Cricetulus griseus: one gene and its partner. The protein of the gene in region 1 interacts with the protein of each later gene in a pairwise test. Links are inferred from orthologs where the notes say so. Each region holds a gene or a part of one and is shown in the gene's direction. Other genes may lie near its edges.

Region 1 (5,324 bases):
ATGACCAACTATCAGATCCCCCAGACGGCCCTGCTGAAGTACAGGTCGCCACCCCGGGACGGCCTGTGAGCTTCTTAACGGCCCAGCATGGATGTCCAGGGTCTGACTCGCCCTGGCCCTTCCAGGTTCTTCTATCAGTTCCTGTTGGGCAACGAGCGAGCAACAGCCAAGGAGATCAGGGATGAGTACGTGGAGACGCTGAGCAAGATCTACCTGTCTTACTTCCGCTCCTATCTGGGGCGGCTCATGAAAGTGCAGGTGAGCCAGGCAGGGACAGGCGGGGACAGGTGTCTGTAGGCAGGGGCTTGGAGGAGGGACTGAGTTCCTCACCTGCTGGTGGTGGGCAGCCATGGTTGAGCTCTCTGTTGTTTTCTCTAGTACGAGGAAGTTGCTGAGAAGGACGATCTGATGGGTGTGGAAGACACAGCAAAGAAAGATATCCTGGACCAGGGAGCCTCGCGTCAGGCTCACCTCCCTCAAGTCAGGCTCCACCTCCCTCAAGTCAGGCTCCACCTCCCTCAAGTCAGGCTCCACCTCCCTCAAGTCAGGCTCCACCTCCCTCAAGTCAGGCTCCACCTCCCTCAAGTCAGGCTCCACCTCCCTCAAGTCAGGCTCCACCTCCCTCAAGTCAGGCTCCACCTCCCTCAAGTCAGGCTCCACCTCCCTCAAGTCAGACTCCACCTCCCTCAAGTCAGACTCCACCTCCCTCAAGTCAGGCTCCACCTCCCTCAAGTCAGGCTCCACCTCCCTCAAGTCAGGCTCCACCTCCCTCAAGTCAGGCTCCACCTCCCTCAAGTCAGGCTCCACCTCCCTCAAGTCAGGCTCCACCTCCCTCATGTCAGGCTCCACCTCCCTCAAGTCAGGCTCCACCTCCCTCAAGTCAGGCTCCACCTCCCTAATTCAGGCTCCACCTCCCTCAAGTCAGGCTCCACCTCCCTCAAGTCAGGTTCACCTCCCTCAAGTCAGGCTCCACCTCCCTCAAGTCAGGCTCCACCTCCCTCAAGTCAGGCTCCACCCCTCTCAAGTCAAGCTCCACCTCCCTCAAGTCAGGCTCCACCTCCCTCAAATCAGGCTCCACCTCCCTCAAGTCAGGCTCCACCTCCCTCAAGTCAGGCTCCACCTCCCTCAAGTCAGGCTCCACCTCCCTCAAGTCAGGCTCCACCTCCCTCAAGTCAGGCTCCACCTCCCTCAAGTCAGGCTCCACCTCCCTCAAGTCAGGCTCCACCTCCCTCAAGTCAGACTCCACCTCCCTCAAGTCAGACTCCACCTCCCTCAAGTCAGGCTCCACCTCCCTCAAGTCAGGCTCCACCTCCCTCAAGTCAGGCTCCACCTCCCTCAAGTCAGGCTCCACCTCCCTCAAGTCAGGCTCCACCTCCCTCAAGTCAGGCTCACCTCCCTCAAGTCAGGCTCACCTCCTGTCAGGCTCACAGTGGGGATGCCTGGCTCCAGCCCACAGGCCTCTGCTTACCCTGTGTCTGGGATGTAACCTTTGAGGATGTGAGAGAGAGCGAGAGCTCCCCTCCCAGAGGCTCACATCATTCTGACAGTTTTTCACGTGGATTTCGGAGGGCTTGTAGAATCCCTGACGCCCATTACAGGTATCAGGTGAAGCGAGGCCCTGGTTCTGGAAGGGATGTCCAGCTCATATTTAGCTTCCCAGAGTGCTCAGGTCTTGGCTTCATGGCCTGCTTGGTCATTCTCAGTGTTTTCCCTGACTCTGATGCTGTTCACGATTCTTCTCGAAGCCGTCCCTCCGAAGCAGGAACACCATCTTCACCCTGGGCACCCGTGGTGCGGTCATCTCCCCCACCGAACTGGAGGCCCCCATCCTGGTGCCCCATACTGCCCAGCGTGGGGAGCAGAGGGTATGAGGAGGCCCCCTCCGTGGCTGGGGATCAATTCGCCTGCTGCGCTGTGGGGACAGGAGCCATGGGCTTAGGGTGCAGAGGGAGACTGGTCGTGGGGTGGCTGTCATGAGGCAGCAGCTGGAGTGGATGTGGGGATGGCCGCAGCCAGTGGGGTGGGCTTTCCTTGTGTCCTGTGCGCCCCCAGGGTGCCCCTCCCTTCCTGGAGGTGAGGTATGTGTGGGGTCTTCCGAGCTCTGGTTCCTGGGATACACTGAGCCCCCGTATCTGCGGGGTCAGTGTTGGATCCACCCCTCTCTCTGTCCCGTAGTATCCGTTTGAAGCTCTCTTCCGCAGCCAGCACTACGCGCTCCTTGACAATTCCTGCCGGGAGTATCTTTTCATCTGTGAATTTTTTGTTGTGTCTGGCCCAGCTGCACATGACCTGTTCCATGCTGTCATGGGCCGCACGCTCGCCATGACTCTGGTAAGTCCCCGATTCTGTGCTTTTACTCTCCCTTCCCAGGGCTCCTCCACGTCCAGTGGGGTCACAGTGGCAGTATTGAATGCAGGATGTCCCGTTCTACGTTGTCCAAGCCTTTATCTCACAACATGGCCCCCTAGGAAACCCTCAGAACTCGGGGGACCTGCTGCTTCCTCTGTTTCCACAAGCAGAGAGCAAGACCTCTAAATCGCGATCCTTTACCTCCATCCCAGGCTCAGCCCTGGCTTCAACTGTGAGGAGCTTACAGAGTTGAGGCCAGTGAGTAAGTCAGGGCCCCTGGACAAGGAAGGAGGTGTCTCCCTAGCCAGCGCCTTGTCCCCAGAAGTGCACATCCATTTGCTCATAGCCACTGGAACTTCAAACTAGCATTCAGTTGTCTGCCTGCTGTGCCGCAGAAACACCTGGAGTCCTACCTGGCCGACTGCTATGACGCCATTGCTGTTTTTCTCTGTATCCACATTGTCCTCCGATTCCGCAGCATTGCATCGAAGAGGGATGTCCCTGCTCTGGACAGGTCACTGAGCTCTGGTCCTGGTGCCTGCTGGGTCCAGCTTTTTATCTCACACCGACAACTCCACCCTGCCCCTGGCTCCTCCTCACCCGATGTCCTTCACCCTTATCCTGTGTGTGTCCCCAAGGCAGCATCCCTGTCACACACACACACACACACACACACACACACACACACACACACACACACATCCGTGCATACAGACACGGACACACAGGCACACACACACCCGCTCACATTCCCCTGAAGGGTGCTGTGCCCCCATGGCCTGCCAGCACCCGTAGCCTGCTGACCTTTGGTTCTGACTGACCCTGCAGGTACTGGGAGCAGGTGTTGGCCTTGCTGTGGCCTCGGTTTGAGCTGATCCTGGAGATGAACGTCCAGAGTGTCCGCACCACCGACCCCCAGCGCCTCGGAGGACTGGACACGCGGCCCCACTATGTGAGGGCGGGGGAGGATAACAAGGGGTCTCGGGGTCACACGCAGCGGTGGGCTGGCCACTGCAGGAGGAGGGACTGGGGACAGGAGCTGCAGAGGCTGCTGGGAGGTTATGTCGGCCTGGCAGGCTGATGGGCGTCTCCCCTCCTTGGTCCTAGATCACGCGCCGCTATGCCGAGTTCTCGTCTGCCCTTGTCAGCATCAACCAGACCATCCCCAATGAGCGCACCCTGCAGCTGCTGGGGCAGCTCCAGGTGGGCCGGGCGGGGCGGGCAGGCTTCCCAGCATGGGGAGGGGCCCTGGGACCTGTGTCTCTGACTTGCTCTCTGTTTGGCTTTTGCAGGTGGAGGTGGAGAACTTTGTCCTCCGAGTGGCTGCGGAGTTCTCCTCCAGGAAGGAGCAGCTCGTGTTTCTGATCAACAACTACGACATGATGCTGGGTGTGCTGATGGTAATGCTGCCCTCCCCCACGGGGCGTGCCCATGCTCGTCAGCCTCACCAAGGGGGCTTTAGCCCTGGATTCTGGCAGTGTCTGCGGTGTGGTGTGCGATTACAGGAGGTGCTGGGCTGAAGGCTGTTCCCAAGTTCCTCACTCTTTGTCTTCCTTAGGAGCGGGCTGCTGACGACAGCAAAGAGGTGGAGAGTTTCCAGCAGCTGCTCAATGCGCGGACACAGGTAGGGCCTGGGCTTGGCAGGGAGACCTCAGTGTGCAGTCATGGTGACAACTCACTGCCTGCTGCTAGTCTGTCTCATTTAATTTATCAATAAATTAATAACTTAAAAGCAAAAAACTATAACGGTGTATGTATGTGTGTATATAAGTATGTATGTATGTGTGTGTTTACACCTGCTTTGCAGGGCATTATTTGTGTGTGTGTGTGTGTGTGTGTGTGTGTGTGTGTGTGTGTGTGTGTACGTATATGTGAGCGCACTCCCAGGCACATGTTGTGAAACACATGGAGGTCATAGGACAATGTCAGGACTGGGTTCCTTTCTTGCTTCTTCCACTTTGTGTTCTGGGGACCAAGCACTTCTCCCCTCCTCCCCAAGGCCGGCTGCTCTGTGGAGTGTCCCCTCCTAGTCCTCCCAGTCCATGTTGGGGTCCTTTGTTCCCAGGACCCCTGACTCAGTTCCAGCTTGCACTTCTCTCTAGGAATTCATTGAAGAGTTGCTGTCTCCCCCCTTCGGGGGTCTGGTGGCGTTTGTGAAGGAGGCTGAGGCTTTGATTGAGCGTGGACAGGCTGAGCGACTTCGAGGGGAAGAAGGTATGAGACTGTTGTCGCGGGACTGTGGGGAGCTGAGTTAAAAGGACAGTGAGAGTGTGCAGGTCTCAGGGGCGGTGGCACAGAGGGGAGGACTTGAATGGAGGAGCACCAGGGAGCCGGGATTGAGGGTGAGCATGGCTGTGCCCCAGGCAGGCCTCGCCGGGGTGGATGGTCCCCAGGCCTGGTTGCTCTCTGACACTCCCTTCCCTCCCGTGGGCAGCCAGAGTCACTCAGCTGATCCGTGGCTTTGGTGGTTCCTGGAAGGCGTCGGTGGAGTCTCTGAGTCAGGATGTAATGCGGAGTTTCACCAACTTTCGAAACGGAACCAGCATCATCCAGGTGCCGCCACTCCAGCCTTTGCCAAGTCCCACGCTTGATTGCTTGCTCTTTCCTCTGGGAAGTCAATGACAGCTGTGTCTGAGATCCCGGTGAAGCTCTGACCTCCTGTCACCGTCAGTCTGACCCCGACTTTCCTCTCTGTGCAGGGGGCGCTGACCCAGCTGATCCAGCTCTACCATCGCTTCCACCGAGTGCTGGCACAGCCGCAGCTGCGGGCACTGCCAGCCAGGGCCGAGCTCATCAACATTCATCACCTCATGGTGGAGCTCAAGAAGCACAAGCCCAACTTCTGACTCTGTCTCCAGGGCTGACAGCTCCCGAGGACTCTGCAGTCACCCAACACTGGGACCTGCCGGCTTCCACGGGCTCTGCATGTCACACACTGTCACCCGGGTCCCCTTCCCTTCTTGTTGTCTCTGAGG
Region 2 (5,324 bases), on another chromosome or scaffold:
GTCTCCGCCACAGCCTTCCACAGTAAAATGGCTCTTGCCCGGGGCCCTGGCTACCCAGCAATCTCAGGGGTAAGTGGGGCAGCCCAGAGCAAGAGGCCAACACAGCTTCCTTATACTGTCTCTTCTGCAGAGCTGGGCACAGTGGCCAGTCTCGATCCCTCTCTTCTGAGTCCTCCCAGAGCCCATTCTAAACCACTGCTTGTTTGAGGTCCTTAATAACACAGCAGGCCTTTAAAAAGAGATGCAGGAGGGCTGGCCAGATGAAAATTGGCTTAATTTATAGACAAGGAAGCAGAAGTCCACGTGAAAGGTTCAGGCATTATGCTGGCCTGCCCCTGTTAACTGGTGGAACAGGCAGTACCCTGGTCAGCCCAAGGTTCCATGGGAACTAAGTCTGCACCCAGGTGCAGAGGACCCCTTTAAAAGATAGGCCCCTGCCCATTTACGCTCTCTGTTCCCTCTCTCTGTTTCCCCGCTCTGTTTCCTCTCAGCTTCCTTTCTACTCTCTCTCTCACCTATGTGCTCTCTCTATGGCGACCGGCCATGGCGGTCAGCCATTTACCCCTGTTCCTCTTCTTAGTCTCCCCATTCTGCCGGGCCTTATAATAAACTTATAGTCTTATGTCTCATGTCTCAGCATTTCTCTTTTCTTCTTTTTAAACAAAATAATAACACCACGGACTGGAGCTGAAAATCCTGAGCTTTGACCAGCACTACCCGGTCCTCAAATAGCCACCATTTATTCACCCGTGACCCAACTCCTCCTGCTCAGTATCGAGGCAAAGCCCACCTCCTGTGTGGACAGCTGATACCTAATGACAAACCTGTGCTCAGATTTTGATTTTTGTCCGCCTAATGACCAGTCTCTTAGCCATGTCCACATTGCCACACTTTTAGAATGTTCCAGGAATGGTCCCCCTTCCCAAGCTTGTCATATAGCCTCCGTAAGAGGCCTCACTTACACTGCCCTCACATGCGGGGAGGGACATGTGTTAAATTCCACAGGCCTCTCTGCCGTCGTATTTCACAGGGAGTCCTAAAGACTGCTAGGTGGGATGTTAAGTAGACAGGACAGAACATGATTGTGTAGACGCTTGGATTGTATAATTTTTTGTATTCGATGTGGGAACCATGCACCTTATGCAAGCTAAGCACATGCTCTACCACTGAGCCCCTGCGTAGATTTCTTGACTTTAGGACCTGGGAACCTTTACATGCTGAAGAACACTGCGAGTCTCGATGGGAGGGAGAAAGTGCGGGGTCAGCAAGCCTGGCTTTCCCGGTGGGGCTCAGGGAAGGACACCTTGGTGTTGCTGCGCCTGTTAGCGTCAGCCAGTTAAACAGAGGCATTGGCTTTCCTTCCTCCCACTGCTGGAGCTGCCTTTCTTCCTCCTTTCACACCCAGAGGCCTGCATGGTCTCTCCCTCAATCCTCCTGGGCTCTGGCCCTGTGCACAACACAGCCAAGCTGAGTCTGTACCTTTTACCTCCACAGTTTTGGCAAGGAGCTTTGCCAGGCCAACCCGGAACATCCCATGAGTGAGTACGGTTTGATTTTTCTATCCCAAGCTCCCCGAGCTGAATTCGAACCCAGCACTTTAGGAAATGGAGCCTAGCTTGGGGAGGTGGAAGCAGGGGGAGATGGGCTGCAGTGTGAGATCGGCCTTTCCAGGATGGCCTTGACCTTAGGGATGAGGCTTTGCTCTCAGACGTCACTTGCTTAGTCTGCATTGTCCACACTTGGAGTGCCATTTACTGAAGTGCTCATCAGGACAGGGTATAGGAGGGGCTCTAAAGCTTGGTACCCAGCGAGACATCTGCTTGGCCTCTGCTTGATGGGAGGTGGAGTGCACCAACAGACATATTGCTTCTATGACTCAAACATAAAACCTGAGGGAATTGGCAGGGGACGGTGCTGGAAACCAATGCCTGCTAAGGCCACCAGTGGCCAAGCCACCAGAGCTACCCTGCAGCCCTTCCCAATGGCTGATGCCTCCTCTCTCCTTTTTCCCACAGTGTGAAACCTTTCTCTCAGAACACCTATACTGTCCAGCCTCCGCTGCCTCTGCCAGGTAAGTAATGATGCATGATCCCCTTGTGTGTCAAACCCTATGGCTCCTGCCTTTGGTCCCAGGCTCCCAGCACCTGGGGTCCTGTTAGATGTCATGACATCATGTGTCAAGACCGTACACCCCAATTTTCTCTCTATACCACACTTCCTCATAGGTAACATGGCATCCTGGGGTGACACCAAATGCTGTACTTCTTGCCAGTTGTGCTCAGGCCTGGCTGGGACACAGAATTGGGAGGAAGTGCCTGTGTCCCCAGGCCGCTGTTGTAGGGTATATGTGCTGGTTCTTCAGGCTTCATCCTTAGAGTGCTGCCTATTGTCTCTCAATTGGGAGCTGAAGGGAACTGGCTTGCAAGCCCCTCCCTAGCACCCTTCCTGATGGCTGGAAAGTGCTGTTGGGCAATGTGACAGCAGTGACTTACTGGTTTGGGCCCTTCCTCAGGCCTCAGTGGGCCAGCTCTGACCTTTTCCCAAGAGGCTCCCTCAGCCCCTTCCACGCTGCAGTCCAGGCTAGGCTTTCAACCTTCCTTGGAGAGTGACCAGCTGAGATATTGCAGTTGCAGCCTCTCAGGCTTTCCTGCCACACCTGATGTCTGATCACCGCTTCTTTCACCCACAGAGGGAGCATCACTGAGTCGGGCCCAGTCCTCATGTCCTGTCCTCTTTTCTGTTCTCTTCCCTCTGTCCATGCTGATGCGGTCTGTACTCAGATCCTCCTAGTTCTTGCCTGGATTCCTGCGGTGGCTTCTTAACTGGCTGCCCAAGATTCTCAAAGCATCCCTCTCATCATGGGATTTCCAGGCTTAAATGCTTCCTGGCCCCGTGGTGCTGTGCTAGACTGCTCCTCCTGGGCCACGGTTCCTCCTACCGGCCCCACCCAGGTTAGATGGCCTCTGTTTGCCCATCCAGGGCTCTGCAGACCTTTGTCTATCAGGGGTGTTCTTCCTGTTCGTGTCTGACTGTGCCTCCGAAGCTGGTATCTGCAGATCCTTGTGGGTATCCTGTGCTGTGTTCACAGCAGTTCCTGGGTGCACTGGGGCTGCAGGATGGAAGGGAAGAAAGATTTGGTGGCTGCACTAAGCATGGGCTGGTGTGGTCAGCATGGTTGGCCGCTCTCCTGGACTGTTCTTGGTCTCTTCTTTGTTTTTTGTTTTTTGTTTTTTTTCCCCCTGTGCCTGAGTTCATTGCTTCTGCCCAGGGTACCAGTGGCCACCAGAAGGAAAACCTGATTCATAAAGGCCTTGCCCTTAATGTGCCCCCCCCCAATCCTACCTTTCTTCCACAATGAAGAAGGAATGAAAAACTGCTAAGCTGAGTGACCGAGAGCTTGTCTAGAGTACTCTCAGCATAAAAACCAAAGCTCTCATCTTTTTGTTTTTGGTTTGAGTGGCTTTGGAGGCTGTCCTGGAACTAGCTCTTGCAGACCAGGCTGTCTCGAACTCACTGAGATCCGCCTGCCTCTGCTTCCCAAGTGCTGGGATTAAAGGTATGCACTACCACCGCCCGGTCACAGCTCTCATCTTAAAAGGAATAAGAGATATTTTATTCTGGAGCCATTGTGAGTGACCATGGCCTGGGAACACAGATTTAGGTTACCCCAAGTTTCATATTCCACCCTGGAAATGATTTCACAGGATTTTCATAGTTTTACTGAACAAAGAAAGTCATAAAATCAAGGCAACTTTAAAATACACTGGATACAGCAGAGAGGTGGGTACAAGGAGATGGGGGACCTATTCTATAGGTATAAGATGCTATGTGATGTCACTCTTAGCTCCTGGTGTTCTGCTGAGTTAATGGCTTCTAAGAGCTTTCTATTTATTATCACGAGGTGTTAGTTCAGATACAGAGTGAGTCAAGGCATGGCTGTCCCAGAAGGCTAACACTAGCCCAAGATAAAGTAATCAGCCTCTGACCCTATATATTTCCGGTCTCTCCAGAGCCCTGAAATTCCAATCGGTCCATCAGTCTCGGCGGACACAGAAACTCCTTCCAGGAGTTTTTGTTCACAGCCAGGCACAGCTTCTTTTCAGGAATTTTAGTTCACATTCCCTGCTCTAGGCAGGATTCCATCCCCAGTATTACCAGGAAAAAAAAAAAAAAATTGCAGAACTGACAACTTCCCAGCCCCACTTGATTCGACCATAGGCTTTCCTTGATTTAGGAATAGAATCAATCCATCCTGTTTGCAGCATCTCGGGCTGACTACAGAGCCTGTTTCCAGCCACTACCAGTTCAGACATGCTCTTCAGACATGAAGATGTGGCCTTACAGATTCTCTCAGTTGGTTCCCGTCCCCGTCCCCCACCCCCACCCCCACCCCCACATTCACCTTTGACTCTTCCCAGCTTGGGTTCCCTTTCCCTATCTTCACTCAGCACTTGTCATTTGAACTAATGACTTCCTTATCTTGCTCAGCCTCAGGAGCACCAAGAAGTCTTCTGTGGTGCCCAGGGCACACCTCTATCAGGCTGGCCCAGGCCTGCCTTCATTAGAACCCTCTGTTGTAGGTGGTGTTCTATGGGTTTTCGGCAACTGTGAGTCCTCCAGGAAACTTCCTGCTCCCAGGGCCTTGGAATCTATTGTGCTAGTTGTTTCAACTGGCTATCTAACTGCCTGGACTAGAAATGGCCCTAGGGCAAGAGTCCTGCTGTGCCTGCCCTGGCAGTTTTCCAGGCAGCCTGTGCTGTTCAGATCCATCTGCCTGGTGCAAGAGCCTGTGCAGAAGCCTGGGACCACTGGCTGGATCTTTCATAGGCTCTGTCCCACCACTGGGCAAGCTTTTCACTGGTTTTGTTCAGTCCTCACTGAGGATAGCAGCAGGGAGGACAATGTGTCTCTCTCCCTTCTTATAGGCTTTGAATCTCCTGCAGGACCCACCCCATCACCCTCTGCTCCGCCAGCTTCCCCATGGCAAGGCCGCAGTGTGGCCAGCTCCAAGCTCTGGATGTTGGAGTTCTCTGCTTTCCTGGAGCGCCAGCAAGATCCTGACACAGTAGGTCTTCCATGTCTGACTGTCTTACCCCAAGAGAGGCCATCTTAATCTCAGAGGCTCTGCCATTGCTGTAGGGCCTCAGTCTTGCAGGCCCAGAGTAGGTTCCCAATCCCACAAGCCCCTGTCCTCAAAGTAAGCCTCAAGTCCTGAAGCTTCTGTCCCCGTGCTACATGCCCCTGTCACTGGAGGCCCTATCCCCATAGTAGGTTCCCTAGTGCCCACCCTAATAAGTGGGTCCCACCCCGGAAGTCCTGCCTCC

The links.
Region 2: the proteins of Vps52 (region 1) and Tead4 interact in binary tests that used the Homo sapiens proteins (3 or more experiments, as listed by UniProt). The two-hybrid records come from large-scale screens. The link is inferred for Cricetulus griseus from reciprocal best matches to the Homo sapiens genes VPS52 and TEAD4.

What each region holds. Positions count from the first base shown.
Region 1 is NW_023276806.1:232,049,711-232,055,034, reverse strand, and holds part of Vps52 (vacuolar protein sorting-associated protein 52 homolog), read left to right. Parts: coding exon 1-44; intron 45-125; coding exon 126-258; intron 259-378; coding exon 379-436; intron 437-1,731; coding exon 1,732-1,865; intron 1,866-2,175; coding exon 2,176-2,331; intron 2,332-2,744; coding exon 2,745-2,863; intron 2,864-3,177; coding exon 3,178-3,301; intron 3,302-3,456; coding exon 3,457-3,552; intron 3,553-3,641; coding exon 3,642-3,749; intron 3,750-3,907; coding exon 3,908-3,973; intron 3,974-4,451; coding exon 4,452-4,563; intron 4,564-4,783; coding exon 4,784-4,902; intron 4,903-5,048; coding exon 5,049-5,195; 3' UTR 5,196-5,324. UniProt on the Homo sapiens protein: Acts as a component of the GARP complex that is involved in retrograde transport from early and late endosomes to the trans-Golgi network (TGN).
Region 2 is NC_048601.1:18,161,412-18,166,735, forward strand, and holds part of Tead4 (transcriptional enhancer factor TEF-3), read left to right. Parts: coding exon 1-69; intron 70-1,494; coding exon 1,495-1,538; intron 1,539-2,015; coding exon 2,016-2,071; intron 2,072-4,925; coding exon 4,926-5,065; intron 5,066-5,324. UniProt on the Homo sapiens protein: Transcription factor which plays a key role in the Hippo signaling pathway, a pathway involved in organ size control and tumor suppression by restricting proliferation and promoting apoptosis.